Oreochromis niloticus: one gene and its partners. The protein of the gene in region 3 purifies or fractionates together with the protein of the main gene of each other region. This does not show direct contact. Links are inferred from orthologs where the notes say so. Each region holds a gene or a part of one and is shown on either strand. Other genes may lie near its edges.

Region 1 (10,851 bases), on a different chromosome or scaffold from region 3:
ACATTTAGAACTGCTTAAAAGGCTATAAAAAATCCCCAAAGCTACTAAAACTGATAAAAATCACATGTGGTGAGCTGTGCCTCTCAGCTCCAGCCCCACCATTACCTCACATGCTTTATCACGTTTCATAACATCAGTTTCATAAGTGAAAGAAATAAACTTTTTATGGCTCCTTCTCAGGTTTAAAGTTTGTAGGAAGGCTTGTCTGATTAAAGTCCTACAGAGGAAAGGTCAAACCTAAACTATCTTAAGTCAGTAACGTGGACCTCTAGGCCATCTTATTGCTGTTGGTGCCTTTTTGGGGCATCTTTAGTGGTGAACCATGTTATTTATGGCTCAATGTGCAACCTTTAATTTGCACTAACTAGCTGAACAGATTCATAGAGCGTCTGTGCGAGTGGGTAATGCTGTGGGATACATACAAAGAGCTGGTAGCTGAAGGTGAGCAGCAGCTGAATGCTGTACACCTGCTCATTGGGCTTCAGAGGAAGCTGCAGCTGAAAGACCAGGAGGTCCAGTTTCCCATCCTGGTTCTGGTCCTCTTCTCTCACCTGCAAAGTGCAGTCACAGAAGAACAAAGCAGACTTTACTGTTATTAAAAGTAAAAAATCATGTCTGTCCACTGTTCACTGTTTAGTATAAACAGTAACAAACATGATGTTTATTATGCAGGAACGGGCACTGTTTTAAATCAGGGCTTGCTGCTTAATAAACCCAGAATTTGGGAGTTTTCCAGCTTTTCGATGACAGTAAACTCAAACTGAGCAGCAAAAGCAATGTGAATATGCTCACTTGGACTACAAGGAAATATAACATAATTGACAACGGATTAATTATTGTATGAAATAAGAAAATCAAGGTAATACCCATGTGAGGCCCGTCAGTAGATTTGTGATGGTATAGTACAGACTTACCTAATGTTTTTGTACATTTATTACAATTCGCTGTGGAGCTGAAAAAACAAAAAAATAAATGCCAAATCTGCAGCTCTTCTATACTGACTGATTTTTTGTGGCGGTGTTGTATCGACATGGGGACACCAAACATTGATATGGCATTAAATAAATTGAATAATTACAATGAACAAGAAGCTGCATCTCATGCACCACCATCCTGAGATAACCGAGCAAACTTTCCATTCAACTGGCTCACCTGAAAAACATTGCTTCACTGGACACACTCGCCTTAACAAAGCTGCCTCCTAATTCAAAGCAAGCTAGCTGCTCAGCCACATAAATGAAATTCAACAGCAACCTTGTGACATTGACAAAAAATACCCACAGTACTAAATAATAACATAAACACCTTAAAACCCATCAAGGTGGCATGCTAAGTTATCATTTAATGGTCACGAGCCTGTTTAGCAAACCGCTTCCATGAACATTTTAACATGGGAGTCTATGGAGACTGCCATACTCTTGGAGACGGCCCCAAAAGGGAATCAGTGGAACTGCATGTTTTTGGCACTTTGGCCTTAACTTCATTTTTCAGCCCCATAAGTTGCTGCTTGGGTAGGGCTGCTCGATTATGGCAAAAATGATAATCACAATTTTCCCTCTGTGAATGGTACTCATGGCCATTGATCAGTGTTCTTTGATCAGTGGGTTTTGGTCAGTGATTGTTGATCAATGGTCATGGGTATTTGCATAATTATGATTAAGGAACTGACCTCACAGCCCATTGTTCCTTCAGTGGGCTGGTTTCAGTCATTATGCAAATGTACTGTTTATAAGGTTTAGGGAAACCTGCAGTCAGCTGAGACTGAAGAAGTCACTTGGATGAGTGACGAAACGTTTCTCCCACAAAACGCTACGTCCAGATGAACAGATTCAACTTTTGGAGATAATCACAATTATTTTCACTGAAATTGAGATCTCGATTATTGGACGATATTTACTTAACAATAACAATGTATTGAATAATGGCTTTAAAGATTGTCAAAAAATAGTATAAAATAGTGTGCAAATACTGATTACAGTGGAAATGTTTGCAATATAAAAAATAAAAGAAAAATGTAAACATCTATGTTTAGTGAACTTCAAAATACTGCATAATATTTGATCCACGTCTGACTCCGCGAACCCATAATGTTTCCACACCACTGAAGTCGTTTTATCTCTCTTTTCAACCAACGGCATTCTTTCTTCAGCAGCCGTTATCCTCTCCTCTCCAAATAACTTCTGCTTAGCTTTCAGAGCTTCCCTCGGGTCCTCTTAATTGTTGTGACGCGTGTTCAAAACGCAGAGAGGTGCGCTCGATTTGCCACACGGAGCAGCGCAAGAGTAAAGCACGAGGGAGGTGCTAATAATCGGCTCAGTCATTTTTAATGATCGTTGAAAGCCCAGATCGTAATCGAGATTAAAATTCGATTAATTGAGCAGCCCTATGCTTGGGTGCTACTAATGAAAAACACTGACGCACTAACTAACTGGTTACATTTCTGCTGTTTCTGCTTTTTTCTTCAGAATAACCTTTTAGGGTATTTTCTGCACACTTATTAAAGTGAAAAGCACAATTCACACATACACAGAATGAGCACGAAAATGAAGCTCATGCCACGGCAAAGTTTCTTACTTCTAAATTATGATTTTAGCATTACCACTAATCACCTGTCTAATCTCATCTAATCCAATCCAGTCACCTGCTAACCAATCAACTGTGAACACAGTGCTTAAGTTCATTACCTAAATATCATGGTCCGCAGGTCTTTCCTCCCTGCAGCTGTCAGACTGTACAATCAAAACTGCTCCCAACAAACATAGAGGTTTACATCAGCGAAGTAACTTGCACTATTTTATCAACCGATTCACACTATAACCAGGGTTTGCCTCTTATCTGTATTTAATTTAATTTAATTTAATTTAATAACTGTACAGTACTCTGTTTTTGGTAACCATTCAACTTGATGTAAATATGTAAAAATTGTGTATGTTTCTGTTCTGTGTCTTGTGTACTGTTTATTTGTATGTGTCTTTCTTGCTGCTGTTACACCCAAATTTCCCCTTGTAGGACAATTAAAGGATTATTCTATATCTTCTATCAATTCTGCTGTAGTTTGTTACCAGAGAACTGATTTGAGTAGGGTGCTATGAACACATTCTTACAGTGACTGCAGGAATCCGGAGGTTGGCTCCTAGCATGTTGTTAAGTTGGGGGAAGGTGCTCCAGGCGACATATTCTCCCTGAGTACTGGTTGCTGCAACAAGCAGAGTCTGGTACTGGAATCTCACAACTGGCTGTTCCTCATAAGTGCTCCTTTTTATCCAAAAACCTAAAATTAAAAACAAGTTTGAAAACAGCGAGCACATATTTGTATCACTTATTATGACTCAAACTGTTCAGTTTTCTACAACTACCTACTTGGTGTAATTACAAACATATGCAAAATAAATCAGACTAACACCCATTTCAAAAAAATAAATAAATTGGTGAACCACTCCGTGGAGGTCTAGAGACTGGAGTTGAGATTATTGTGTGGGGAAATCCCACTAAACTCCAGTAAATCAGCAGTTTCTGAAACACCCAAATCAACCGGTCTGGCTCCAACAACCATGCTGTATTCAAAGTCAGTGAAAATAATAATAAATTACCCTTCTTAAATTATTCTCATTTAGAAAACAGAAGCAGCTTGATGATGTTACTGACGAATTCTGTTTTCAACTCTGTTGTCATTTTACACATGGACACCACCAACCACTTGTTTATCAGTTGTAATAATAAACATGAAAATAATTACTGCCTGTGATGCAATCAAACAACCACGCGCAATGCTTTCTGTGTGTTTTCTTTTTAAAGCAGACATGAATTAAGCGTTTTAATGTTTCACAGTCATACAAGAGCAATAAGAGAAACCAGGAGCCTGTGATTCCTGACGGAGATAAATGAAGTCTGATGAATGAATCTTAATACGTGTATAAAAGCTTCAATCTGGAGTTTTATCAGTTTAATTTAAAACTTCATGGCTTATGCCATGCTTTGATACCTAGCAGACTTGGGAGAATAGAGGAAGTGCCACAGGATTTTGCCTTCCCAGCTAACATTATTTACAACTATGGAGATCCCATTGCGTGGCGCAACCCTGGTGCTATTCCATGAGTGACGTGCAAACAAATATTTTGCTTCAATTAGCGTGGCATGCGTGGCTGCTAAAGGGTGTAGTTTTTAGAGCGCATGTAGAGTTTCTGGACCGTAAATGTACCTTGGCTCCTGTAAGCAACCAGCAGAGGCGGGATGTAGGTGAGGCACAGAACCACAACCAGGAACAGCGTGGCTTTCGTGCACACGCTGGTTTTGTACCGAATCAAAGCCGGGTGAGAGTACACCTCATAGGAAGCCATAAGTGTGCTGGAGGTATAAACAGCTCAATCTTCCAGATAGCAAAGATGCTAACCGACGGAAAAACCCTCGGAGGACCAGCGTGGGCAAACCGACAATAAAATGCTAAGGAAGCATAAATTATCCCTTAGCCATCCAACCGCTTCCGTAATGAAGTGACTCTAGTAGGGCATTGGTCAAAAAACACAGTGAATTAACGTGCTATTTATGTTAGCACCAAGTACCGCGCCATGTTCCTTCCTAGCTTAGCGTCTGGCGGTTGCCATGGCTGCCAGTGTTCGCGTTTGTGCTGCATTCACGCGATAGCAGCACGGTGAGCACACTTAGCAGAGGTCACACAAAACAGAAAAAAAAAACAGAAGCAGAAAAGCTTTGCATGCAGGGATTCCATGTTTTTGTGCTTACTTTGCATTTATTTCTTGTAATTTGAGGATACTTTGGGTCTCTGATTATCTTTTAGTTTTTCTTTCACGTTGTTTTGGGTCTCTTTGCGTCTCGGTCGTTTTGCATCTGGTCAATTTGCATCTGTTTCAGGCCACTTTTGCGTCTGTTTTAAGTTGCGAACTGAAAACAGACGCAAATACATGTCTGCGAACATGTCTGTTGTTATTTATTTATTTTTATTACTTTCTGTTCATTTTGCATCCCTTTAAGACTGTTTTGCATGCCAATCCAGATATTCTTTATTTTTCACTATGCAGTCACATAACGAAATTTTGTGTGGTAGTTCTCATCTTAAAACAAGACATTAGTTGCTACAAGATATGTAAATAATTATAAATATACTCAATAGAAAATTAATCAAAATTAAAAATAATTTTGTGTTTGTTACTATTATTATTATTTATTTTATTTTTATTTATGGATGGTTGGATGGGTTCATTATGCATTAACACGGATGTCAAACTCAAATTTTACATTGTGGCCCACATACAGATAGGTGGGCCAGACAAGTGAAACTCTGCTTATTGTCATTGACCAGAGGTTTAACTGCACATTTATAGCCCAAATAGTTACATGATAACGTTTTTCTAATGTAGTTAGTGAAAAAGTAACACCAGTCTTAATGACTCTGGGCTTAAATTGTAAAAAATTAATGTGTAAAATTACAGAAACAATTTTGCTATCTCACTGTCTAGACCAGGGGTCAGCAACCCTGGGCGCGAAGGGTTGACTGTTGGCACGACCATAGCTGGACTGGCCATCAGGTATATCGGGCATTTGCCCGGGCCGATGATTTTTTTTTTTTTTCTTGTACAATGAAACAATGAAAGGTGGTGGATTGGCCAGATGCTGGCCGATGTATAAAAATAAGTCAGTTGTTTGGTGGTGGCTATGGCGGAGCTTCCACAGAGGCCAGCGGGTGGATGAGGGAAAGGGGAGGCAGGAGGAGGAGAGACCGAGTGTCAGGTGAACTTAACTTCAGGTAAGAAGTTATGACCTGCAGTCTATCTGGGTCAGATATAAAACAAGTTTAGGTGGAGTTTATTTTCGTTGTGCTGACTTTTTACAGTCAGTTACAATAACTCGTACTGCGTACTAGCTAGCATGACGGATTTTCTATACAGCTGGGTGTGTGCTATGATGTTACTGATAGTGAACTTTATTTTATTCATAAGGTTAGTAGAGTTGCCAACTTTCCCCTAAAAAACGGAATCGTCTCGTATTCAGCTGAAAAGGAACACAGTTTGTCCCGGACTTCAGCTAGGATGAAAAAGACACAAAGCCGGAGTGTTTCTGTCTTTACGCTGTCAGCTGCCTCTTCTTCTCTCATTCTCTCCCCTCTCTCTCCTGTTGCTACTTCAATCATGAAACTGATCAATGATCAGCTGATCGGCTTTTCTCTCTTGTTTGTTTATCGCCCACTTTGCGCCAGAAAGAGGAAACCAGCGGATTTCGCGCTAAACAACAGCGGTACGTTTAAGCTTGATCAGCTGTTGTTCGAATTTATTTAATATTAATTTCTAGTATCAGCTGATGTTTGCTGGAGCCACAGCTGTAAAAGCTGCTGGTCATGATATCGGTTTGGATATGTGGTGAGAGGGAAACATGAAGATGAAACCAGGAGATGTCCTTACTGAATCATCAGAGCTGAACAGGTGATGGAGAAACAGGTTTACCTTTTAGGTGACATGAATGAGTTGAAGGGAAGTTATGAACTGTTTCTGAGAGACAAATAACACCAGGATCCTTTTCTAAGTAGCTGACAGCTGGTAACTGTGCAGGGGCGGGTCTAGCAAAGCTTTGGCAGGGGGGCCAGGTAGGGCATTAACAGGGAAAGGGGGGCACAAAGAAATACTTTTCTTTCTTATTCACATTTAAAATGTCTCGCTTTTAATAAATAATTATCTGAATCTTACAACCAAAGTTTTTATCAGATGTATAGAATGTATAGAAATCATACATATACCAACAAGACTGTACATCACTGTCACAAAAGCGTTTGTTTTCATTCAAAGGCTTTATGGCTTTTCCTATAATACCTGGTGGGCCGGTCTCTAGTCAAAATGCCCGGGCCGATTTTTTGTCCCAGTCCAGCCCTGGGCACGACACGCAGTGAATTAATCTGAGAAGGTGCATTAAAAAAATAAATGGCCGGGCCAGTGGCGCACATCACAAATTAGCTCGCATAGACACATTAATTGTGCCGCTTCTTAATGATGGTATCTTAGCTAACAACCCCAACTACCAGATTCAACTTGTAATTGGCTAAAAATAACTTAGCCTACCGGTGAGAGGGACGTTGCTAGCTGGCAGTTTTTTCAAGCGATGTTGAAATTTCCACATTCCGACACTTCAAATGCTTCAGGAGCTGCCCGCTCAGTGCAGCATCAGCACAGCGGAAATACACAGATACATCCGTAGACTCGAGACAGAATTCACAATGCGTTTTTGGGACTTTCAGGTGTATGGACCAATGTTTTTTTTTCTGATCAAACCAGAAAGCTTTAATGAGCAGCTGGATTTGTCTCACATTAACTGGCTGAGTTAATGCCAGGTAATGCGACATCAAAATGCAGCTGATTGAAATAAAAACCTCGACTCTGTGGGGTCAAAGTTTGCAGAAATACAGACACAGCTGGAATCCACAGCTGTGTGTGTTCATGGAGCTTGCATTTTCACCTGCTGGACATCACTACCTGACAAGTTTAACTGTCTTGAGAACATTGCAGAGGCCTTATTGACAGTATTTGGCTCTACATATCTGTGTGAGCAGATTTTCTCTCACATGAAGAGTGTCCTCGGGTAGCCGTCTGAATGCTGGACACTCGGAGACCTGTGTCTCTGAGTGGGAGACCAGAGATCACATTAACATGTGTATCCCTGTATTAACAAACATGCCATATTGGCCCAGTTCATTTTTCTTATCATTGTTGTGAGGAGACCATAAATAGCATTTGCGTTTTCTGTTGTACAGTTCATTTACTCTTATGGAGTTCTTGTTATGGATAAAAAGAGTCTTTTTTTGGTTTCAAAATAGCTGATAGCTGCCAACATCTGCAAACAGATATAATTCTATAAAGTTGTTCTATATAGTGTGTAACTGTCAGTGTTGGGTAAGTTACTTTAAATTAGTAACTTAGTTACATTACTAGTTACTTCTCTAAAAAAGTAACTCAGTTACTTCAAGTTACTCGTTACTTTCAAAGTAACTAGTTACTAGGGAAAGTAACTTTGGTTTTACTCAGAATTCTCTTGTTAATGTGTTGCTTCAGTCTTCTAGCTTGCTTACTTGCCACAAGTGCACTGTGCCACCTACCAATAGAAAGGAAAAAATAATGTGCACATTTCCACCAGAGAAATCCCACGCCTGGACCGTCGTTGACCGCCGCCATGATTCTAGCCTGCTTTTTACATCCAACACAAAAACTGCAGTCGTGGTGCTTTTGATTGTACTCAGAACTTGGAAATTCTGCCTTCTGAATAGGAAGATGTAGGTAACACCAGACTGCAGATGAGCTGCATACAGACCTGGACTGGGACAAAAAAATCGTCCCAGGCATTTTGACTAGAGACCGGCCCACCATTATAGGAAAAATCATAAAGCCTTTGAATGAAAACAAACGCTGTTGTGACAGTGATGTACACTGTTCTGATGGTATATATGTATCAATCTATCAATTGTTTGTTGTAAGACTCAGATAATTATTTTTTTAAAAGCGAGACATTTTAAATGAGAATAATAAAGAAAAGTATTTCCTTGTGCCCCCCTTTCCCTGTTAATGCCCTACCTGGCCCCCTGGCAACACTTTGCTAGACCCGCCCCTCCACAGTTACCAGCTGTCAGCTACGTAGAAAAGGATGCTGGTGTTATTTGTCTCTCAGAAACAGTTCATAACTTCCCTTCAACTCATTCATGTCACCTAAAAGGTAAACCTGTTTCTCCATCACCTGTTCAGCTCTGATGATTCAGTAAGGACATCTCCTGGTTTCATCTTCATGTTTCCCTCTCACCAGATAACCAAACCGATATCATGACCAGCAGCTTTACAGCTGTGGCTCCAGCAAACATCAGCTGATACTAGAAATTAATATTAAATAAATTCTAACAACAGCTGATCAAGCTTAAACGTGCTGCTGTTGTTTAACGCGACATCCGCTGGTTTCCTCTTTCTGGCGCAAAGTGGGCGATAAATAAACAAGAGAGAAAAGCCGATCAGCTGATCATTGATCAGTTTCGTGATTGAAGTAGAAACGGGAGAGAATGAGAGAAGAAGAGGCAGCTGTGCAGCTTCAGCTTTGTGTCTTTTTCATTGTAGCTGAAGTCCGGGACAAACTGTGTTCCTTTTCACCTCAGTACGAAACGCGTAATATTTTCTCTGAATACGAGACGATTCTGTTTTTTACGGGACGGTTGGCAACTCTAATAATTAACCATATGAACAAAATAAAGTTCAACATCAGTAACATAGCACCCACACAGCTGTATAGAAACTCCGTCATGCTAGCTAGCACGCAGTACGAAAATGTCAGCATACCGAAAATAAACTCCACCTAAACTTGGTTTATATCTGACTCCGATAGACTGCAGGTCATAACTTCTTACCTGAAGTTCAGTTCACCTGACACGCGGACCGGCGGCCGCTTCGGGTCTCTCCTCTTGCCTCCCTTTTCCTTCATCCACCTGCTGGCTTCCACCACTTGTTATTGAATCTGTGGAAGCTCCGCGATATCCACCACACGAAGTAACGAGTAACGAGCCTATCTAAATCCCAGTAACGAGTAACGCGTTCCTGGTTTTGGCATAATAACTAGTTACCGTGCTCGTTACCACAATAATAACGTAGTTACTGTAACGCGTTACTTAATAACGCGTTAGTCCCAACACTGGTAACTGTTAATATAGAGCGTTATTAAATTTATTGCTAATGCAAGTCATATGGCACATTGACTTCTGAGGAAATTTTAGATGCACTCCTCAACAGAAAGGTTGCCTACCCCTGGTCTAGACTGTTCTGTAATTATAAAACAGAATGTTTTGGCTGTTAAATTCTTTTTTTGTCTGTGGACTTATTGTAAATCAATAAATTGCTCTAGTAGAGCATCATTTAATTGCTTATTTGTTACTTAATTACTTTGTTATGAATAGCTATGAGGTGGGAAAAGCTGTAAAACGCATGAAAATACAGCTAAAAGTCCGAAATTTGTCATTTTTCACATTTTCCAAAGCCCCCTAATATGCCTGATTACACTCTTTGCCCGGCCCCGGACCTTTTGTTTGACACCCCTGCATTAGAAGCTTTCCTGCCGTTCGTAGCTGGACCGGGAGCACTTGAAGGCAGCACCACCACCACCACCAGCACCTCCCCTGTGTCAGACAGTGACGTCACCTCCCTGATAGACGGACAGCTGAAAGCTCCTGGCTCAGCGGGGTTGTTGACGTTTTGTTTTGACCGCTTTTGTCTGGATTTTTGGACATTATCCGCAGATTCAGAAGCCCGCCTTTCGACCCTGCCGTCACGCCTCAGTGCGGGGATCCAGCAAAGATGAAATGGATGTTTAAAGAGGACCATTCCCTCGGTAAAGGGGTTTGGATTGTTATGAAACGAGAGATCTTGTCATGTCACGCACCCTCCGTTCTGTGTCTTTCTCTCCGCATCCATTGTTGCCATCTCATCCCATATAGGTGTAGAAATGTATTGCTTGCCTCAGCATATAAATCCATGATGGCTGATGCTGCATGGCTAGCAACTAATGCTAACATTATTCTTGCAAGTGTGATGACCGCTGTCAAAATCGGGCTCACCTTTCAACACCCCTGATGCATCAAATCAGTCCTACCCTGAAATGTGTTTTCCCGTTGCATGCATGTTACTTCTTAACCAAAATGAATTTAAAATCCCCACAATTTAATGTTGCTTTGCCTTTATGTAATCCCTCTTTGAAACCCTGTGGTACTAACATGATTAAGGGCTGTCAGGGATTGTTGTGGCAAATTCGGCTGTATGCAGTAGGGCTACAACTTTTTCTGCTGGGTAACCCCTTCCAGGGTAATTTAACTAGGCCTCATAACTT
Region 2 (10,059 bases), on a different chromosome or scaffold from region 3:
CAATAAATTAGGTATTTTAGAAAACTTTTCCTCGAGTCCCAGTGCTGCTCCAGTTACCCGTCAAGTTACCTGCAGAGGAATTCTAATCCTGTTAGTGACATGACTGTGAGCAGCATTAAACTCCATGTGACCTTCTCTGTGCTGCTGCTGTTCATAATAATGTGGCCATCCAGTTCAGCGGAGCCTCTCGTGAAGAAGCCAAAAGGAAACTTCCAGAAAGGCTGAGGCAAACCCCTGGGGGGTTCTGGGTAGACTGTGCTGTCAGCGAACGTAACTCTGGTGGTCAGAGCGAGAGAGGATGACAGAGGACACTGAGGGGAAAAAGAAAACAAAAAATAAAGACAGGAGCAGAGGAATTTTAAAGGTAAATCTGTCAGAGAAAAAAGAGAAAAAAGTGAGATGTAGAGAGCACACCTTGAAATTTTGACACTGGAAAAGGTATCTGGCCCCTAGGATGTAGTTTTGGGGAAGGTCGAGGGGACCCAGGCGAGCCCACAGTACTTCGATGGAGAGAGAGTGAGGGAGGACGCAGCCTGATTCACACGTTTCCTGAGAAGGAACAACATAAATGTCTCTGAAATGTGTCTGTGTACAGATACTCCGGTCAGTTTTATTTATACAGGACCAAACCACAACAACAGCTGCCTCAGGGCACTTTATATTGTAAGGTAAAGACAGTACAATAACACAGAGAAACCCCCAACAATCAGATGATCTTGTATGAGCTAGCACTTTGGCGACAGTGGGAAGGAAAAACTCCCTTTTAACAGGAAGAAACCTAAGCACTTGCTCATAGGGGGGTTCTATGATTGTTGGGTTACAGTATAAAGTGTCCTGAGGCAGCTGTTGTTGTGATTTGGTGCTATATAAATAAAATTGAATTGAATTGCTGCGACTGGCTGGGGGCAGATACAAAGCACCGACACTAGGTGCTGCTGCAGACACCAGAACAGCTGTAACGGTGTATGGGGGTCACATTTCGGTTATACCTGCAGGCTGAAGGGACACTCCTGTGTGATGACTCTTGCCCAGTCTGGCTGGGAGCCCGAGCTCATGGCGATCTCATCAGGAGTAGCGAGTCCCTGCAAGATCCCATAAATCTGCGAGCGCAGCTCTGAGCAGTCGTTGGCTGGAGAGCTTGTAGCACAGAGAGAAAGAAATTTAAAAAAAAGAAAAGAAAAGCGGAGGATGTTGTTTGTTATTTTAGCGACATCTCCACTTGTCCTAATGTAACATAACTAGAACCACAGACAACAGAGGCAAAAAGAAATAATGCAGACTCACCTGAAGGTGCAGCCGGTGATGATGTTGTGCGTGAAGAGGATGGGTGCTCGCGTGGTTGTATCAGGGGAACAGGTCCCACTTTGTGACACCCCCAGTGAGGTCAGCTGGCTCACTGTCAAGGAGCCAAACTTCGTAGAAGCTTGGCAGATAAATTAAAAGATACAATCTTAAAATTGTAGTTAGGATACAGGCATCGCTTCCTTTAAAAAGCGACCGATGAGAGGAGATCCAACTTTAAGTCCGACTGCAGGCTTCAGTATTGCGGGAGTGGGACTTGTTTTGGTCAGCTGAAAGAGAAAAACTACATTACTTGGCACATTAAAGTGTTTAAATTGAGTTTTTTTTAATTCTTTTGGCTCTACCTGGAACTCTACAGAGTGCGTCTGGAGCAACAGCTGACTCTGATTCACATCGGCTAGGGTTACGTCAACCGTTGCGCTTGTGAGTTCCCCTCTGCCGGTGTAAAATATGACAAACTTCACCTGCAGGAAAGGCAGAAACAGCAGAGTCAACTTCAATGTTTCGTCACACACTTGTGGTTCACCACACAGTTGTGCACTCGTCACCTTCTGCACTGCATTAATACAGGAGCTGTTCCGCAGCGCTGGTGAAGGCCACACTGACAGGTTGGTCACTGGGATCTAAAACAGTCAGGAAAACATTAGCCTGTAGGAATAATCAATAACTGTGAAATATTAGCACGACAACAACTATTAACTCCTATTTTTGCCTTTCCAGTGTACTATATGTACTATAGACAAAGTATTAGAGATTTTAAGTGGAATATCAAAGCGCATTTACAACAGTAATGTACGACTTACCAGAAAATCTGACACTGGTGCCATCTCAGCTTTTGGGATCTGTCACAGAATACCTGATATTAGTCGATCTGTGGTGAGAGTCTCACAGCTAATCATGCACTTAAAAGGATTTAGTGCAAATGGACTCGCTGACCTTGATGAGATGCAGGTCGGAGAAGTAGGAGTTGGCGCTGAGGCTTGGATCTGTGATGCATGACTGAGGAGTCACCATCCGTGCACAAGACAGAGACACAGACCTCAAGAACTCTACAAGAAGAGGAGAAATTAAGGTGGATAAAATGTGGCATAGGAAACAGTGTGTTGTTGTAATAATTCTGCATGTGTGTACCAACAGTACAAAATGAGCAGAATGTGGTTGTGTGCAAGCCCTTTCCCCGACAAAGTCGTCACCTGGATGGCAGCACACATCACTCTAACACCTGTAAACAACTGTTCAGTAGTGATGGAGCCTTAACACATGTGCAAGTTTTCCTCTGAGTACCCCCACATGCACACAGATTGGTGTGGTGTCTCTGTACGGACTGTTGTCGTGACAAGAGAGCTGAGTGTGAAATCAGTCTACATTCCTACTGTCACCTATGGCAACAAGCAGAAAGGATGATATTGTGGCGTTTCCTCTGAACAGTGTTTGGGCTCAGCCTGGGACACAATGAGGAGATTGGTCCTTGATCAGGAGGGGCTAAGAGAAGAGTCAGTTAAAGGATACTTGCTGGCCTCCTCCTAGGTGAGGTGTTTTGGGCACGTGCTACTGAGAGGAAACCCCGGAGCAGACGAAGGACATATTAGAGAGATTACATCTCTCAGCTTCTCTGGGATGTTAATTGTAACCGACCTGTTGCCAATTAATCTCATTAGCAGTGAGAAGCTGAAGCATTTCTTTTGAAGCATTACACAACTTTTTTAGTCTTTTCTCTAACTTTCCTTTAGCTGGACTGTTGCATTCTGTTTTCATTCACATTTTACAGAGTGTTAACTTTTCTGGAAAGGCTACTCTACTCAGGGACTGTTGGATGTCCTTCAGGAAGCATGGAGAACTATTCCTGAATACTACTTAAAGAAGTTTGCCTAAGACAGTCCAGACTGTGCTGAAGAATAAAAGTGTTCAATATTGTACAAAATTTGTTATATATGGTTGTCACATGGTTTAATAAATCCCTGCACCTTTTCCCCCCATTTTCCTCGCAAAATATAAAGAAATGAGGGGCAGCTCGAGACTTTTTCACAGCAGTATGATGGGTAAAAATGTCTCCTGTATTCCCCAGTATAAAAGGGTGTCATGTATACTGCCACAAACCCACACGTCTGAGTTGGGCTACTGTGTCTAAGACGTCTGTAGAAAATATCATAAACTGATTCTCCCAAAACTGTCCAAAGTAAATATGAAGAAGCAACTCTAGATGGCAGGGCTGCACTTAAAACGGTGTAACAGCACTTTGCCACTCAACAGTTCAACATTTAACTTTTTATGTGATCTTACTTGCAGGGTTGCGGTCGATGCAAAAAGCTGACACTGCCGGTCCTGGAGATGGCTGACGGAGGAGACCCCGCACAGAGGAGTTGGGGAAATATGTCTGGATGACATCATCAACCTACAGAAATGCAGTTGTGATGATTTCAAATATCTAAAGTTTGTTTATTTTAATTATTTAAGTCTGCGTAAAACTTACCATGTAAAAACTTCTGCTGGGTCCTACAGTTGGAGTCTTCTGTGGAGAGAAGTGGTACGAGTCCCCTAACACTGGATGCTGAGGTTGGGCTGGGAAAAACTGGGACGTGTTATCTGTTTGGAGGTTGGAAAACGATAATGATATATGTTGACCTTACGTGTGATTAAAAAAAAAAAGTGATGCCATTTACCTGAAGGCTGGACACAAAACAGAGAGTCAGTCACTGTGATAAGAGACGAATCCACATTGGCTCTGAACATCAGCCATTTCTCAACGCAAACACCTGATCTGTAAAGTAAAAAATGGTCTTTTAAATGTTGAAGCTGTGTACCACACGTGTTATAGAGCTAACGACCAACACTCACACGGCTCTCTGCGGACATCCAGTGAAGACAGCGCTCAAGTTAGCGAGCCCACAGTCAGCTGTGTCACAGCAGCAGCCGATGTCACAGAAACCAGGAGTTAAATCACAGAGACACGCTGGAAAACATCAGGAAAAAGGTTGGACATGCTTGGGAGTACTTATGTTAGGTGTGGTGTCACCGTCAGATCCACAAAGTCTAGCTTGAGTAACTAGCGGGAAGCCTGATCGAAGCAACAAAAAGACTTAATCAGCCCTACAAACGATGTAGCTGGAGGTGTAATTTACCCTGTGGAGACAACGTGGGCTGGACGGTGGTTGCAGTTGGACTCTCGGTGGCCGCAGTGGGCGCTTCGGTCGCGGACAGTGTCGTGTTTACCGTGGAGCTCACGGTGGCAAGGGTAGGGACCTCCGTGGTGTTGACACCAGTGGAGTTCACGGCCTCCGTACCGCTCGGAGCAGGGGTGGCAGAGCTGAACGGCTCCCCATTAGCGGGGGTGGCACTGATGGAGGAAGTCCCCACTGGGTCTGTAGCTCCGTGTGCCAGACGTCCACATATGACCGTCAATATAAGGGGTAAAAAACACCACTGGATGGAAGACATTTCCTCTAAAGAGCCATGAAAAAGGAGCGGGAATATGCGCACTTTACCCGAAGAGTTTCTCCGGTGTCTCGCGTCACAGTAAAATTAAATTAAAGATAAAATAAAATTTGTCTTTATGAGTTAAACACGTTAGAAAACGTAGCAAGAAGGGTACAAGCTAAAAATCGACACATAATCGGGGTGCAAGCGTCTTGTAACTAAGGAAGTTCTCATTGAGACTTCCGTTTCTACGAGAGAATTACCGTAAAGCACGTAGAAGAGAAAACGCGGTCATTTCAGGTTAATGAATTCACAACAATCAGTAAACAAGCAAGGTTAACATAGTTAACTAAAATCAAACTGAAAACTATAACTAAATCTGAAAGAAGAATATTTTTTGATTGAGATATTATTAAAAACTAGACTTAGAATATTTGTTAATAACTGTTTTTAATAATTTAACCAACACAGAATACACGTGTAACGGTGTAATGATTGACACATGCAGCATGAAGACACATTGGGGCGTATGTTTATCTGAGTAAAGTTTTTATATTATAATAGCTGTTTTGGAGTTCTATAATCTCACCTCTCTCAAATACCTCCCATCAAAGAAACTAAAACTAATACTGAAACTAAGATAACCACATGGGATAAGTACATTTACTCAGGGCCTTCTTGATATGATGTTCTTTTGCTTCCCTGGCCGCTGTGTCTTTGGGCATCTGTGTTCGCTCTGTGTTGTAGCATCCTGATGACACCCAGTTTGTGCTCCAGTGGATGATGAGAGTCAAACCTTAAAAACTGATCCGTATGCGTAGGTTTACTGTACATATCAACTTTCAAATGTCCCCCATTACTGATGGAAATGTCACAGTCTAAGAACGCCAGCCTTGTTGACTGACTAAATGTTTCTCCCGCTAAAAACGCTACATCCAGATGAACACAATCAATTTTGGGGGATTAATTTCTGTACCACTTTATTATTGCAACTGGAGATTATTTTAATTTTAATCCTGCAAAAAATATGAGGGGAGACCACACATAGTCTTCACAATGTATTTCAACTAAATAAAGAAATTATATAAATAAAGAAACTATGTGACTGTCAGTATGTCTGAGTGGATGGTAAATGTATGAGTGTGTGCATATGGAACAAAAGCAGATCATAAAAGCTCTGCCAGCCACTGTTAAAGACAGTGTTAGAGGATCTGATAGCTGCTCTTGTCCCTCTGAGCCAAGCAGAGCCTGCACAGGTGTAGTGAAATGTGAGCCAGGTCAGCTCCACCCACCAATTTCAGTCAAAGAAATAAAATGGCACAACCCGAACAGAAGAGAACCAACAGGACAACCTCATGGGTCACACATAAGTTTTTTCCCCCCCTCTTTATGTTAGGTTAATGTGTGGATCTCTTGCAGTGTAAAATCTGCACTGGATGGATATAAGCAAGAACTGCTTCAGAGTTCACATCTTCCTGTGTTTTATATGAGAAAACTCAGTGGTCCCTCATCATCAACTTAAAGACATTTGCATGCTTATGCACTTTTTTCACTGCATGATTACACAAAGATAGCTGTTTTGTCAGCAGGCCACTTCTTCTTATATATAAGACCCATAAACACAGAGCTACCAATAAACTATCCCTTAATGGATTAGTCTACAGCAGTGACCATTTTTGTATTTATGTGGTAGTAGCATCATGCTCTTGGGCTGTTTTGCTGCCAGTGATACTGGTGCATTGCACAAACTTGCCAGCAGGGCCACTGATTTCAATAAACTATTAATTCTGCCAAGAAGAACGGTCAGACATTCAGTCTGAATTATACCAGATGCCAGCTGATAGCTACAAACAGTGTCTGGTTAAGGTGTAACTTGATAAAGGACATTAACCAAATATTAGTGGATGTGTATGTATATATTTGAGCCTGTATGTACAATTCTGACCCTTGGATTAAAGAAAATCCCAAATAAATTCAAACATGTGCACTCAATTCTAGTTTTTTAAAATCATTTAAGATGCATGCTGTACAATCAGTTCAAAGAAATCATTAAAAGCCCACAATTACCATGAGACCAACCCTGGTGATGTCATGTGTAATACATTATCTTGTGTGCACATGATAAATAATTACCACACACAAGATAATAAGTTGTTCAAGGAAATATTTGTGTGCACAAGATAAAAAACAATCAGCTCGCATTAGCCTCGCTCAGATAAGCTCAGATCATTAAAAACTATGCCAAAGTGCATAAAATGTAAACGTTTAACTCCACGTTGGACTTTTCTCACTGCAAAATAGAGTAGAACAAAATGACACATCTGTACTGCTGTCTTCTACTACTTATTGAATAGTAATATTTTGAAAACCCGACTCTGCTCTGACTCCTTCTTTGTTCAGTCATCTCTTGCTGTGCTGTAATTTTTCTCTGAGACATCAAGAACACAAAGAACTTTTTGTTAATAATGCATCTCCTTGTGAACCACCATGTATTTTGCTACTTTTCATTTATGCAGGGAGTCCTTTTTCCGTCAAAATGGCCTCCATCTGCCAGCAATTTTGGAAATCCACGTGGAATACAATGGAATGAAGCTTTTATGGAAAGATATAAAATTAAAATAACTTCTTTTAGTTCGATTTTAGGCAGGTCAACTGAAAACTACCATGCAAATCTCAGCAGAAAATGAGCAATCACTTAGCCTTGACTTATTATTGCCTGTCAGTGGGGTCGACCGTATGCAGGATTAGCAGAGCACAAGGTCAGTGGCGTGCTCACCTGCACCACAGCACACTTCAGCTACTGTGCAGATCTGAAATGCAGAGCCTCTAAAAAGCACAGCCCCAATCTCAAGTTTATTCACTATTACCCTCTGTTTTAATCTTTAATGGTTTCAGGCTTTTGATTTATTAATGAAATCTCATTTGACTGCTGTTTCCTTTCCAGAAATACATACCTGCTCTGATGGAGCTGCGCAGCAGGCAGCCAAGAGAAGCAAACACGAGCGATTCCCCAGATGTGAATGTGGGGAGTTGCACAGATTTAACACAGCTGTTGTTTTACTTACTCAGCCTACATCTGGATCTAAGACGGTGAAAAACATTTTGTCCTTTATCTGCAGAACTGCATGTTGGAATGCTTAAAGCATGTATGTTACAGGCTTTATGTGTATATGTAGGGATATTTTTTATGAAATAATTTTCTGAAGCTGAAAATCATAAAAGGATATCCCTTAGAAATGGAATAGAAATATCAGTAAACACAGCCCAACATGCTTTCCAGGCTGAACAGGAATAAATGTTTCAGATAAGGTGCTAAAAGCATGCTCCACGGTCTCAGTACAGAGTCCATGCCAGCTCTAAAGCCTTCGTATAAAACCTGTTTGTGCTTGGCTCTGTTTTTCATGTTAAGTAAAAATATTTAGTATGATTGACTGAAGAAATTCTTAAAACTAGAAACAAGTTCTCTTTATTTTTCATGACTAGAGCATCCACTGTCTCCAGAAGCCAGAAACACAACCAAATTTAGTGAGCTGCATCTGTCAGATGTGAGTCAGCTTATTAAGACTTGCTGCTGTTAATAATTTATGCAGAATGTGGGTTACTGAGCAGTCAAAGGACAAAACCTGCTTACCTTACCTGGTAAAAGGACTTAGAATTTAACTGATCAGACAGTTATAAATGAAAGGGGGACATTCACCCTCCCAACTAAAAAAGAAACAGAGCTATAACAACAACATTGTCAGGGGGCTGGGTCTGTGATCCAGCATTTTGAGTTATTTGGTATTTTTTGATTACTTATGAGATAATGTCAAGTTCTGAGGTAATTATTAGTTTGTCTTAGTTTAGGTTTAGTCTAGTTCATGTTATCGTCCATGTCTCCTTGTTTATGTGTCTTTTTCTGTTTGTCATGTGTTATCTCCTTGTCTGTGTAGGTTCCCCATGTGTCTCTCTCCTCTGTGTCGCTCTTTCTCTCTTGCCCCCCCTCTCTGTCTCTTGTTTCAAGTTTGCGTGTCCCAGTTCATATCTGTCCATATTTCCTGTTTTATTTTGAAAGTCTTGTTTCCATGTTCAGTGTGTTTAGTTTTGCTTCCCATGTGGCATCATGTAATTTGTGTCAGCTGTGTTTCCCCAGGTGTTGCCACTTTCCTCATTATCCTTCTGTGCATTTAAGTTCTCATTTTCCTTCTGTTTAGTTGGGTTGTCTGCTTATCTCATGTGATGTCACTGCAAGTCTCGCTTTTATTTTTCATGACACGTTCTATGTCATAGTTTTCATATTTAGTTTTAGTTTAGCCCAGTTTTAGTTTTGTTTTTCCCCAACTCACCTTGTCTTCTTTTTGCTTTGAATATCAGCCTCAATAAACAGCTCGCATTCTGTTAAGATTAAGTTTTTTTCTCCCATGTCTGCTTTTGGGTCCACACCTCAAACACGCCTGCTGCGCTGCAACAACATGTTTGACACCCCTGTTTGAACCAGAGCAGACGCCCCCTGCTGGTCATTACACAGAATCCAGGGTTAATGCACTTCAGCATTGGCTTCTTCTTTAAGACATGGAAACGATATCCTTCTGTCATGATTGGTACTACTGATGAAAATTACTGGCCACCACTTATAACAGTTTGTTAAGTAATATAATTTTGTTATATTGTGCAGATTGAAAGATCAGGAAACTGAAAATCTGATGTGAAAATGAGCATTTTGATAGTAATGTGAAATTATATGATATGAAATTGCACACTGTGAAAACAAGAATGAGCACATAACATTTCTTAATCGTAAACAGGGTTATTTCCTGTTTTTTCAATGAATCCTCGCATCAAAACTTTAAATAATGAATAATTATAAATGAATTTTATACTACTAATACTACTACACTGCTATTGGGTATTTCTGCTCTTATCACTATGTTTCTGCCCAAAGACAAATTTATGTGCACACTGGAGGCAGGCACGGATCGTTGTACTGTGTCCAGAGGAGGATTCAAATCCACCTCAAGCATAACTGGTTGTGGTAAAGCAGAAAAACTAGTTGTATTCAAGTCAGGAAGGGTACTATTAATGAAGATATAAGTGTTCCATCAATTTTCCATTAAAAAACACATTTCTTTGCTGAATTTATGAAAAATGCCAATGATGACAGTTTGACAGGGATAAAACAAAATGATTCCTTATTCCTCCAGAACCCAGACCTCGACATTATTGAGGCAGTGTGGGATTATCTTGACAGAACAGAAGTCAGCCAACATCCAAAGAAGAGCTTTGAATGTTCTTCAAGAAGCCTGGAGAACTATTCCTGAAGACTATAAGAAATCACAAAAAGCTGCCTGAGAGAGTTCAGGCTTT
Region 3 (10,757 bases):
GCAAGCATCATGTCTGCCTTGGCTGTTAGATAGTGCTCCTCGAGCTCCTTCACCAGGACTTTAACCATGCCGAAGGCCTTTGAGTTACTTTCCCTGCTGTTCAGCCTGCAGTCCTCACACTGGTGTTTTGATCTACAGTGACAAAAAAAAAATGGTAATTACTTTTCTTACTGGTGTCCCCAGAAAAAAAACGGCACAATTCATCACACCACAGTGAATCTAAATACTCCAATCCGAGTCCAAAATATACAAAGAACAAATGTCATCAGTGATGAAAGGGATTTTTAAGCAGTTTGTTCCAGTTTGATGTACATTACACGTTTTAATGCTAAAAACAAAGCTCTGTTTTTATGTAAAACATTGCATGTCTGGTTTCATAATACTGTCGCTCCTTAGTTCATCTTACCTGTGAATACAAAGAAGTATTTTCAAGCCACAAATGTTTCTTATATAAAAGACTAAACTGCACGCCAGACTGTCCTCCACTCTCATCCATGACAGCCTGGCATGCATCCTTTCTGCACTGTTCTTCAATGAGCAGTGGCAGCTCTGTTTTGAGTGAGCTGGCTCTTATTAAGGTCTTACTTTGAAGCATCACACCAAATAGCGTGAGGTGAGAACAAAGCTTCTGGTACGTCTGTAAATTAAAAAAATCACACGTTCTTCTAGTGGAAATGTCTTTTTATTTTAGCAACTATATTACTAATCTGAGTTAACCTTGATTTATGTTTGTTCACAGAGTTTGGGTGTTCAGTAACTTCCCCTGCCAAAGAAATCACACTACCTGTGAAGCATTTTCTAAAGTTCCTTTGTATTATCAGCAGGCAATGCAAATTGTTCCTTTGACTGCCAACTGCGTCTACACAATCAGGAGTTTATGTACCTACAGCACCATTTAAAGAATCTTATCATTTCAATTCTCCAAAAGCAAAAAAAGGTCGAACAATACTGTAGCATTGGGAATGCAGTATTAACATATTGCAGGGGACCAAAACACACCGCTGTCTAATAGACTGTAACTCTTAATTAATTAATAGCTTGTGCTTTGAATCCACATGCAAAAAAAAATTATTTAATAAGAACGACGGCCTTTAGAGAGCAGTTCTTACTTCTGAAGGAGGATCTTCATCATCAGTGCTCCCATTTGGGCCTCCTGCACCCGGGGACTGCGTAGAAGCTGTTTAGTTCTCGTATGCAGCACTTCAGTGAGATCATCTAGAAAACTGGGTGGAAAAAATCTCAACAATAACCCAGCAGCGAGCTCCCGAATCTGGGGGGGAAGAAATTCCTTATATTCAGCTTCGATTGATTTAAACTAATGAAAATTTCAAGGTAAGAAACGGCATCTCTACCTCATTTGTTGAATCTTCTAAACAGCTGAGAAGTACTAGCTGTTTCGTCCTGCAGAAGAAATCCCACTGTCCTCTCTGTCTGGCACAGCTAATGAGAGAACTCATATTTGCTGCAAACATGTTCCACAGATATCATTAAAAGCCAAAAAACAATAAAAAACAGGAGGGAAAAAAATCTGTTAAATGTAGAATATCAGCATCACATTTTCCAAACGTACCCGGAGGTTGTCCCTTCTTCCTGTCTGGGCTCCAGGTGTCTGTGCAGGTCTCCAGCACTGCTGAGACCAACAGCAATGCCGTCTTCTTTCTCTGATAACTGTGTCCTGGTGCCAGATAGGTGTATGGAAGCTGACTCAGCCATTCCACAAATCCTTTATGACATATGAAAAGAAGAAGTCACTCACCTACCCACTGTTCAAGCCTGTTTGGGACTGCCTATCAATCAGAAGAAGCTGGCTTAAAGGAACGATCGCCTTAAAGGGAGGAGAGTTTGTTTCATACAGAGGACCACCTGAGAGCCCTGGTGTAGGTTAAATGGGGATTATTTTGAATTGTGAAGCATGCAAAGCTACTCTAGTATAGTCTAAGGACAAAAATGGGGAACTAGAAAGGTCTCGTTCAAAAAAGACCACATATACAGTGTGATAAATGATTTTCTCACCTATTCCCTGATCCAAGAGATCCTGTGTCCTTTCCGAGTGAGAGGATTCTCCTTTCTTTTTGCCCTTCTGTCCTCTGACATATGCCAAACAGCCATCTCTGATCCGAATCAGAAACTTCTTCACTCCAGCCTGAAAATGTTGCCGAAATGGCGAGGAGTCGCAGTTTAGATTCTGAGGTATGAACGTTCTCATGATCGCCATCTCCTCTGGAGTTGGTGTGTCTTTGGTCTTTGGGCAGCAGCAGAGCAGACTGAGAGCAGCAAGTCGTACTTTGTCATCTGCAGATCCTAGAGCTAGCTGAAGGGTCTCTAGGGTGGAACTACCCTGAAGGGCCCAGGGGGAGTCTCCAGTTACAGCTCGATAAGAGCTCAAGATGCAGGCCCAGGCATGGAGGTGACCTGGGGTGTATGGGTCCAGGGAGGCCAGCATGTGGTCCACAGCAGAGGGGAACACCTGGAAGGTGCAGGGTAATAACTGCGTTGAACTGTTGTTCTGTAGAAGAGGCACTTCAGATGTCAGCGCCTCATGAAGGACAGATTGCCAACGCCGTGCCCAGTGACTCGCCAGATCCAGCTCCGCGTGTGAAGAAGAGCCATCACACAGCTCTTGCCTCTGCTGCTGGATCAGACTTTTATAAAGCTCTGACCCACACGGTGCCAGGTGATTGGTAGACAAGCACTTCAGGAGATGACTGGATATCTTAGGACACTGATCCAGCAGCTGAAGACAGGAAGGCAGAAAAAGTAAACAAAGACATGACCAATAATGACTAGCTCACAACATTAATTAACACTGTAACTACCCTTAAATTCTCACCTTGTCAGTACCCAGATACGGCAGCAAGGCGCACAGGCGATGATATTTAGCTTTGGCTTCCCAAGGTAGCTTCATTATTCGCTCGAGCAGAGTAAGATAAAGAGCCCTCTTTGTGTCACAGAACTGTTTACAGTCCATCTCATAGAGATCCAGCAGCTGAAAAAATGCACTGCGAGCAGTTTCTGACACCCCGTCCACCTGCAAACGCACAGTACGACAACCCTGGCTGTAATATGACTTTATTAACTGAGCAGCTAATATGACATCAACTAAGATGGAATATAAACAAATTTGATTCCAATTACAGTCTATTTTACGTCTGTGGTTTATCAGACATAAAAATATACAAGTACGTTGACTAATCTACAAACATGGTTACTAAAGAATTACAGAGGAGAGGAGTAGGATATGATAGGATATTTTTTCTGCTCCCCTTTCCTCTGCCTATCCTACTCCTCTCCTCTGTAATTGTTTCCATATTGCCAATTTTGTCTATCGAAGAGTTCCAATATTAAAAAACGTCCCACTTCACTTAATAATAGTAGTTCTGTTCTCACCGGGCTTTCTGCATTGGTCCAGATGAGGTGAATGAGCTGCTGCAGCAGAGTGCAGTTGTCAGGAAGAAGGCGAGCATGTGTCACCTTCCACAGATCAGCCAGATATTCTTTCACCTTCTTCAGCCATAAGTTTAACACTGCAACAACACCTCAGGTTTATGTGGGTGACAGAAGTGTTGCAAAGCATGAACAAACAGCTTAGACAGCTACTCACCTTCGAAGGCAAAGTAGTGACAATCCAGCTTCTCCTCGCACAAAGTAAACACCAGAGGAAACAAACCGTGCAGCAGCAGGCAATTCTAAAGAGAAAAGGTTGGTAATGAAAGCAAGCACAACCACAATGCATGCTCTGAGGTGGACTTCAGGTAGATTTACTTCTGGGGCGTCCTCATGTGAACTGAGCAAAATGTTTGGTCGACAGCAGGTCAGGAGACCTCTGCACACAGCCAGCCTGCCCACTCCGTCCTTCTCTGCAGGGTCGCACTGCACCCGGAGAACACCGACAGCCAGCAGCCAGGGCTCTGAGAAATAACAGGAAATAGGAGCTATTCAGCAACGAGTGTCCACACACTTACAGTGTGCTGTAGAATCTGTGATAACACATTGTGTGCATAGTTTCTGATCAATTTTTAGAAATAGTGCAACATATATTACAATACAAATACTGGTAGATTGTTCGCTTGGGTAAATATCTGTTCAAATTCCAGTGCTTGATTTGCTTCTACATTCATGTCACTGCTTCCATACCCAAGTGAGAGACCTGTAGCAGACTCCAGGCTGCAGCTCCTCCAGCTCCGTTCTCTGATGCTGTGTTGATCAGCATGGCCACAGCGGTGCCGGCAAGAAGACGAGTGTCTCTGTTGCAGCACTGCACAACAGGACACAGTCAGCATTAAGCTGTAACAGCTGACATTTATCCCGTAAGTGAGTGAGTGAGTGATTAATGAATTCTTTAGAAACCTGTCCAAGTATTATGGCCATAAGGGTCTGCAGGATCTTTTCCACTGCTGGGGCTCTCTGTTCCTCATCCCACACCAGAGGAGCAACTTCACTGGACAACAGCTGGAATATCTGCAAACACACCTGCAGAGATTACAGTTCTCCGGTCAGTGACAGAGATCACGCAGTAAGTTGATGATGATCCACACTGCTCCTCGCGTACCTTGACTGTAATGTAGCACAGCGGTCCATCTCTCAGGGATTCTTGCTGCAGTGCGACAGGGAGTAACTCAGACACTTTGTTCAACATGGACATGTACGACTCTCTCCACACCTCACGGCCAACAGTGCTGTCTTCCAGGAACATACAAGCTGCAGACAGTGTGTATATATACACACAAGAACAACAGTTAAACATGTAAGTTAAAGGTGGCAACTTACTAAAAATAAATGTAAGTTTAAATTTGTTCTGACCTCTTTGCAAATCCTCAAAACACAAAATCTGAAATGAAGACAAGGTCAAAGTTAGCTGCAGTCCTTTTATGGAAATGTGCGACAAAGCAAAGCAAAGTGAGGACTCTGTACCTGGTCACTGTGGACTACGGAGTGGAAACACTCACGGGTCTCTCTAAAAACAAGCTGGTGGTCCACCTTTGCTAAATGTTGCAACATCTGTGAAGGAATAAAATAAACGTGTAAATGTGCCTTTCTGTCTTTAAGCAGCGAACATCCGCATCTGACACAAAGTAAAGCCAACCTGGTCCACTTTGCGACAAGCTGTGGAGATGCCGACCATCTGCAGCTGCGTGGATATGAGCAGCCTGACGAGAAGTGTGAGATGGTCGTTTTCTAAACCAGACAGCTGTGCTTCAGAAAGTTGTCTCAGCAGCTGGACAGCTTCCTCCAAGCAGCGCTCCTTACATCTCTTCACGCCGCTCCTGTTCACGCAAGCGCACTTATTCATTCAAACTTTTCAGAACAGCATGCAGTGTTTTAGAAAACAGCTGTGTGGCTGAGGTGCAGCTGCTACCTGGAGGATTCAGACAGTTTCTGAAGAAACTGGCTCAGAGTCGGGCTGACGTTCTCAGCTGCTTCATTCTCGGAGATCACACAGTCCTGCAGACTTCTCAGCAGCTCTTCAAACCCCAGCATCATCATCCGATTCCACAGTACAGATGTGTACTGTTTTCAGACTCTCAACGAGCACGTTGGTTTACAAGTCACGTGACAAGACTCTTCTTCTACTTTTTTTTTAGAGCAGCTGTCATCGCAGACTTGCAGCCACATGCTGCCACCTAGAGGCCGAAGTGTTATTGTTGTTATCCATAGATTTACAAATTTAAAATGTACTGGTTTGCAAAAATAAAAACAAATAAACAATTAAACAACAACAAAACAACAACAAAAAACAAACAAACAGAAAAAATAGTGACAAATTTGTTTTTATTGGATTTTATGTGTAGTTTTGTTTTGTGACACACACTAGTGTGACACATCTTTAATAACTGTCCCTTTTGCTAAATATTATATATACTGTATATATATATATATACTGTGTATATACTATATATACTAAATGTTGATCTATATATTGTTAATATTTTAAGTGTTTCTAGTTGATTTTGTGATGTTACTGACGGACTTTTTAGTTCTCATTATTCTGGTACTTTGTATCCACAGAATCGTGGGATGTATTGGAGAAAAATAAAACCAATCAATCAATATAATTTAATATAATATTCTGTGATGCTTTTCTTCACCTGAGGCCAGTGAAGTTCTGAGCCTGTAAGTATAAACCACTCCTGACCAGATGATGTCGCTCTTCTTTATTTAACTGTTTCCGTCAAGCCAGACTCTCTCCGGTCTCGTTGTGGGCTGTGATTGGTTAAGGACGTTGCTAGGACATCACGAACAGTTTACAAATATGTCGACTTCCTGAGGCGAACCAAATGGCTAATGTGGTCGTATTATTATATTCTTCGTTCTTTACACGTGTTTTACTCTTCGCTTGCTTGGCTTACACTCAAAACATTGTCGGTAAGACCTTATATTTAATTTGCTTTAAAATAGCTGACGGTACCTTCGCAAAACCTACCTGAGAAACGAGCAGTTGCTAATTTTTTAGTGAATTTTTGTAGCCAATATGTGACGTATGTAACTGTTTTGAAAGTTTTCCAGCCTTCCTTTGTGATTACAACGGGACCAGTGGTCACTGCAGTTTTGCTGGGAAACACCTCGGGTATCTCTCTTAGCCTGAGGACAGTTTCTCCATCCAACACAACAGGTAAAAGCTCCAGGACACATATCCTCTTTGGTCCCCCCCCACATGGTCTGGCGGTGATATTGTTGTACTAGTTTAGACACGAAAAAATAAGTGTCTTTAGGTTAATTAGTTAACTGCATTTAAAAATTTCCAGCTTAGAAACTCGTAAAAATGCGAAGAATTTAGTAGTAGTAGTGTTAATTTTGGACGTATTTGGTTGTTGATGATGGTTTCCTTTTAACAGGAAACATTGGTTCTCCATCATGTGTAGCAGAAGAAACAAATTGGGTCCTCACTAGGGAGCAGGTGGGAAAGGTAAGAGACTTGTCCTGTCCTTTTTGTGTCATAAAATGGAAAAAAATACACACCAGAGTTGTTAGAAACATGACATTTATTTCAGATATTAATTAATAAATTGATCTGAGTTAAAAATGTAGATGTACAGTGAGGAGAGGATGATGTGGTGGCTCTCTCAAGCCAGCCTATAAAATTTCATTCAATAATTCCTAGGGATGCACCATCCCACCATTCATGAAAACGATCAACAAAACGCACTTAAAAAGAATATAAATGATGATTATAAGTTATATTTACTGTTTCAAAATGCTTTTAAGTTTGCTGTAGTTCAATTTACATCAGTAATGCCTCCTGTTGAATTAGGATCTTTATTTATTAATTTTTAATTATGTTCAGCTCTGATAAGTGATGAATGGAAGACCTAGAAATCTATAAATGAGGAGAATAAAAGGATTTTCACCAAATCACTCTTGATCAGAAAAATAAGAAGAGAAGAAATGTATTATATAGACTATACGTTTTTGTTTTCTTTCTTTAAAATTCAAACCAGTGAAGCGATATTGCATTTGCAATGAAGTGACATTTTCACTGGTGGTTCTTGTTTATATGACCTGCCTGTAAAAATAAGGTAAAGATACATTGGGGTTACACTCTAGTCCAAATTCTAGATAACAGTGTTTTAGGCATCCACTGTCGCACTGATAAAGTCTATTTTCCTGAGTCCTTATACGCTCATCTTCACTCTTTTCCTTGACCACACGAAGCTTTCCATAGTGATTAAGGAAAAGTGGTTAGGAAAAAGAGGTTGAAGGTAATTTTTTAGACTACTCAACTCCAACCTTTATCTGGTGTGGACAGTTAGCAGCCAGCTAAAGACTCTTGCACTAGCAAGCAAGGCTGGCAGGCACAGTGAACAGATGCAACAATGATGAAGTAAGACACAAGCACCTGAGTTAATTAAAACACACATTTAATTTGATCAAGTTGATCCTTGGACATACATTTTCTTCATGGTCTTATTTGTCTCATTTGGTGTCCCAGACTGCAGTTCAAGTTCATCTAAGACTGAATCAAAGTCTGCATTTATGTGGCAACAATGATGCAAACACAGACTGCTGTCAAAGAGCATTGTGCATCCTGGAAGCCCTTCAGGTGTCTGCCTGTGTGGACGGTACACCCCAGGCATCGCTGCTGATCCAGGCCAAGATACATGCCCTGTTGGTTCCTGCTAATCCTGGATCTGGTAATTCAAATGAAACTTGTTTCTCACTGTAATGTGCTTTCATTTAAAAGATTTTTTTCAAACAACAAAAAATGACGTCTCCATTTCAGATAATAAAACAGTTATTCCAAACCAAGTGTACCAGCCCCTGGGCCCTTGTCCTTGTGACTTGACATCTGGAGCGTGTGACATACTCTGCTGTTGTGACAAGGTAATATTTTTTAAAAGACGGGAGTGGATTTCAGACAAATATTTTCTTCTGTAGTGATCATCAAATGATTAATTTGTGATTTCCCCCTCAACAGGATTGTTCCAATGAAGATTTGAAGCTGTTCTCAACCCAGTGTCTGCCAGGGCCCTTTGGTGGGCAGGTCTCTCCTGCTTCAGATTACCAGTGTTCTGTGCAGTCCACAGAAAATTCCCCAGATTGGTTTCCATTTTTATGTGTCAACTCTCCCCCTGAAAACAACCCTTACCTTGGTCACTTTTACAAAGGAGGCACAATGTGAGAAAGGTTTAAATATATTTCAGTCTTGCAACTTACCAAGGAATTTCATGTGTCATGTTATCGTCATTTGTCTTTTCACCTGTCTAGTGCACCTAAGCCTGGTCCATCCTTCCAAAGTCCAGTTTTGTCAGCTCCAGTCCCAGTTGATGTTTATATTCAAGGAAATCCAATTTTCACATTAAATGGCCAATACTTCACTGTTCCTCAGGTTAGTGTTAGCGTGTATTTAATGCTGTTTTTATAGGATTGTTTACATGTAAGTATTCCAAAGCAGTGACAGCTAACACTTAATGTAACAACTGTTCTGTTCAACAGAAGGTCCTTGGACTGTGTGTAAACAATGCTCCTGTTGCATTTCTAAAAAATTTCAACTATGAGTGTACAACTCTGCTACTCTCCTGTCCAACTGGATATCCTCTACAGACACTATCAGGAAATCTGAGCATTAAAGTGAAGAATGGGAAAGGAGGTAGTTTTTAAATATAACAAATTATATAAAAGCTGTGAAGTGTTTTGAAGCTATCTGAATGTGAAGCTGTTTAAAAATGGTTTTTATTTATTCTTGTATTTCAGGTGACGTCATGGTGGATGTAATGGATGAAGTGGCTGCTGATACGAGTCCATTTATTTCCATAATAGATGCAGTTGCACCCACAGGTATCCACATTACATTACTGCATTACTAACATAACTCAAATGTTTAATTGACCTTAATGTTGACATGTTTTGGCATTTTTTTCAAAAGATGAGATGTTGGTTTGTGAAAATTTGACGTTAGCGCTGGACTACAAGTTCTACTGGAAAGAAAATGGCATCACAGACATCACGCTGACACGGACTATTGGGACTATCATTTTAAATAGTCGTGGTAAGTGCTATAACGCTTGGCTGTTGTTTAGCTCGACTAATGGTTCTGACTAATATTGTTTTATTTTCCCGTAGTTTTAACACATTTTTGGTATTCTCTTGTCTTAACAGCAACATTAACCACAAAGTATTCTGCCACATTTCTAAATGGAGAATTTTCTGGTGAGCCAAACTCGGGCAACCCAGGTAGGACCAAGATGAGGTTTTGTATAAAATAAAGTATTTACAGTACCTGGGAATAACATGTGTACACATTTTTAATGACAGGTTACCAGGTGGGAAGGCCTGTTATTGCTGGAATCGTGGAAGCTTTGGACAACAACACAAGCTTAATAAAAAGGACATCAGTTAATGTTTGGAAACCAGGTAAAACCCATAAAGATTGCTGATTAGTAGATGACTGCATGTAACCTAATATTGGACTACACACTGCCATATAAAAAATAAAGTTTTCACGGGACTCTGTGCATTTATGTGAAAATGCATGTATCTCATGATTCGGTAGCATGCAGAGCCATTTTTAGTAGCAAAAACTTGAAGTGATCATTTTCTTTATGACTTGGTCAGTCTTTCACATCATTGTGAAAGAATTTTAGTCCAGCCTTCTGGGCTTCGTTTATGCACCGCTCTCTTTAGGTCCTGTCACAGCATTTCAATCAGGGTGCGGTCTGGACTTTGAATGGTGCATTGCAGTTAATAAAAAGTATTTGATTAGGAGCCCCTGGGTGCTACTTACCCTCTTCATTACTATGGAACTATTAAGGGGGCACTTAGTTTTCCACAGGATTTCACAGAGTCCTGTGAAAACTTTATTTTTTACTTGACTGTACATTTCAGTCCAAGCAAGTTGACTTACATTGAAGATAACTAGTCATCTCCATTTTCTGATCTGGCCTCCAGTGAGTGATGGACTCTGTTCCACTGCTGGGATGAAACCGGTTCTGTTTGGAGAGAATTCAACATCAGGATGTCTGCTGCCTGTCAGCCGGCAAAATCTAACTCAGTGTAGTCTTCTGAGGTCAGTGGCTTTGCATGATTACATCTCTAATGTATATATGCAGATATATGTGTTATTTAATATAATTTCTTTCCTCTTTAGAGAGACTGTTACTAACCTACAGGCAGACTTGATTGCAGCCACATATGTGGCAAAGAGTGGAAACCCAGATTTTCTAACTATGGCAGATTGGATAAACATAAGCTGTAAGTACGGTGCAAAGAAAGAATTTTCTTTTTTCTTAAATTGTCTACTTTTTAATAATATTAAGTTCATT

What was found.
Region 1: the proteins of tctn2 (region 3) and tmem231 purify together in Homo sapiens (affinity purification with mass spectrometry; 3 studies listed by BioGRID and IntAct, counting the BioPlex papers as one, with this or other methods). This does not show direct contact. The link is inferred for Oreochromis niloticus from reciprocal best matches to the Homo sapiens genes TCTN2 and TMEM231.
Region 2: the proteins of tctn2 (region 3) and tectonic-3 purify together in Homo sapiens (affinity purification with mass spectrometry; 3 studies listed by BioGRID and IntAct, with this or other methods). This does not show direct contact. The link is inferred for Oreochromis niloticus from reciprocal best matches to the Homo sapiens genes TCTN2 and TCTN3.

What each region holds. Positions count from the first base shown.
Region 1 is NC_031972.2:4,916,155-4,927,005, reverse strand, and holds the start of tmem231 (transmembrane protein 231), read right to left. Parts: upstream 4,628-10,851; 5' UTR 4,338-4,627; coding exon 4,199-4,337; intron 3,272-4,198; coding exon 3,105-3,271; intron 552-3,104; coding exon 423-551; intron 1-422. Other genes in the region: gabarapl2 (gamma-aminobutyric acid receptor-associated protein-like 2), read left to right, coding at 10,323-10,356. UniProt on the Homo sapiens protein: Transmembrane component of the tectonic-like complex, a complex localized at the transition zone of primary cilia and acting as a barrier that prevents diffusion of transmembrane proteins between the cilia and plasma membranes.
Region 2 is NC_031973.2:16,460,171-16,470,229, reverse strand, and holds the start of tectonic-3, read right to left. Parts: upstream 4,980-10,059; 5' UTR 4,738-4,979; coding exon 4,422-4,737; intron 4,253-4,421; coding exon 4,138-4,252; intron 4,061-4,137; coding exon 3,963-4,060; intron 3,886-3,962; coding exon 3,773-3,885; intron 3,695-3,772; coding exon 3,583-3,694; intron 2,352-3,582; coding exon 2,239-2,351; intron 2,145-2,238; coding exon 2,106-2,144; intron 1,926-2,105; coding exon 1,851-1,925; intron 1,767-1,850; coding exon 1,647-1,766; intron 1,572-1,646; coding exon 1,473-1,571; intron 1,389-1,472; coding exon 1,285-1,388; intron 1,138-1,284; coding exon 990-1,137; intron 550-989; coding exon 415-549; intron 312-414; coding exon 66-311; 3' UTR 1-65.
Region 3 is NC_031977.2:18,496,217-18,506,973, forward strand, and holds the start of tctn2 (tectonic-2), read left to right. Parts: upstream 1-6,149; 5' UTR 6,150-6,275; coding exon 6,276-6,363; intron 6,364-6,496; coding exon 6,497-6,610; intron 6,611-6,833; coding exon 6,834-6,904; intron 6,905-7,927; coding exon 7,928-8,129; intron 8,130-8,218; coding exon 8,219-8,319; intron 8,320-8,413; coding exon 8,414-8,613; intron 8,614-8,703; coding exon 8,704-8,824; intron 8,825-8,931; coding exon 8,932-9,085; intron 9,086-9,189; coding exon 9,190-9,273; intron 9,274-9,361; coding exon 9,362-9,484; intron 9,485-9,594; coding exon 9,595-9,669; intron 9,670-9,750; coding exon 9,751-9,849; intron 9,850-10,383; coding exon 10,384-10,501; intron 10,502-10,582; coding exon 10,583-10,686; intron 10,687-10,757. Other genes in the region: si:ch211-225b11.4 (thyroid adenoma-associated protein homolog), read right to left, coding at 1-132, 1,110-1,270, 1,353-1,462, 1,571-1,723, 2,014-2,734, 2,831-3,028, 3,388-3,524, 3,602-3,686 and 8 more.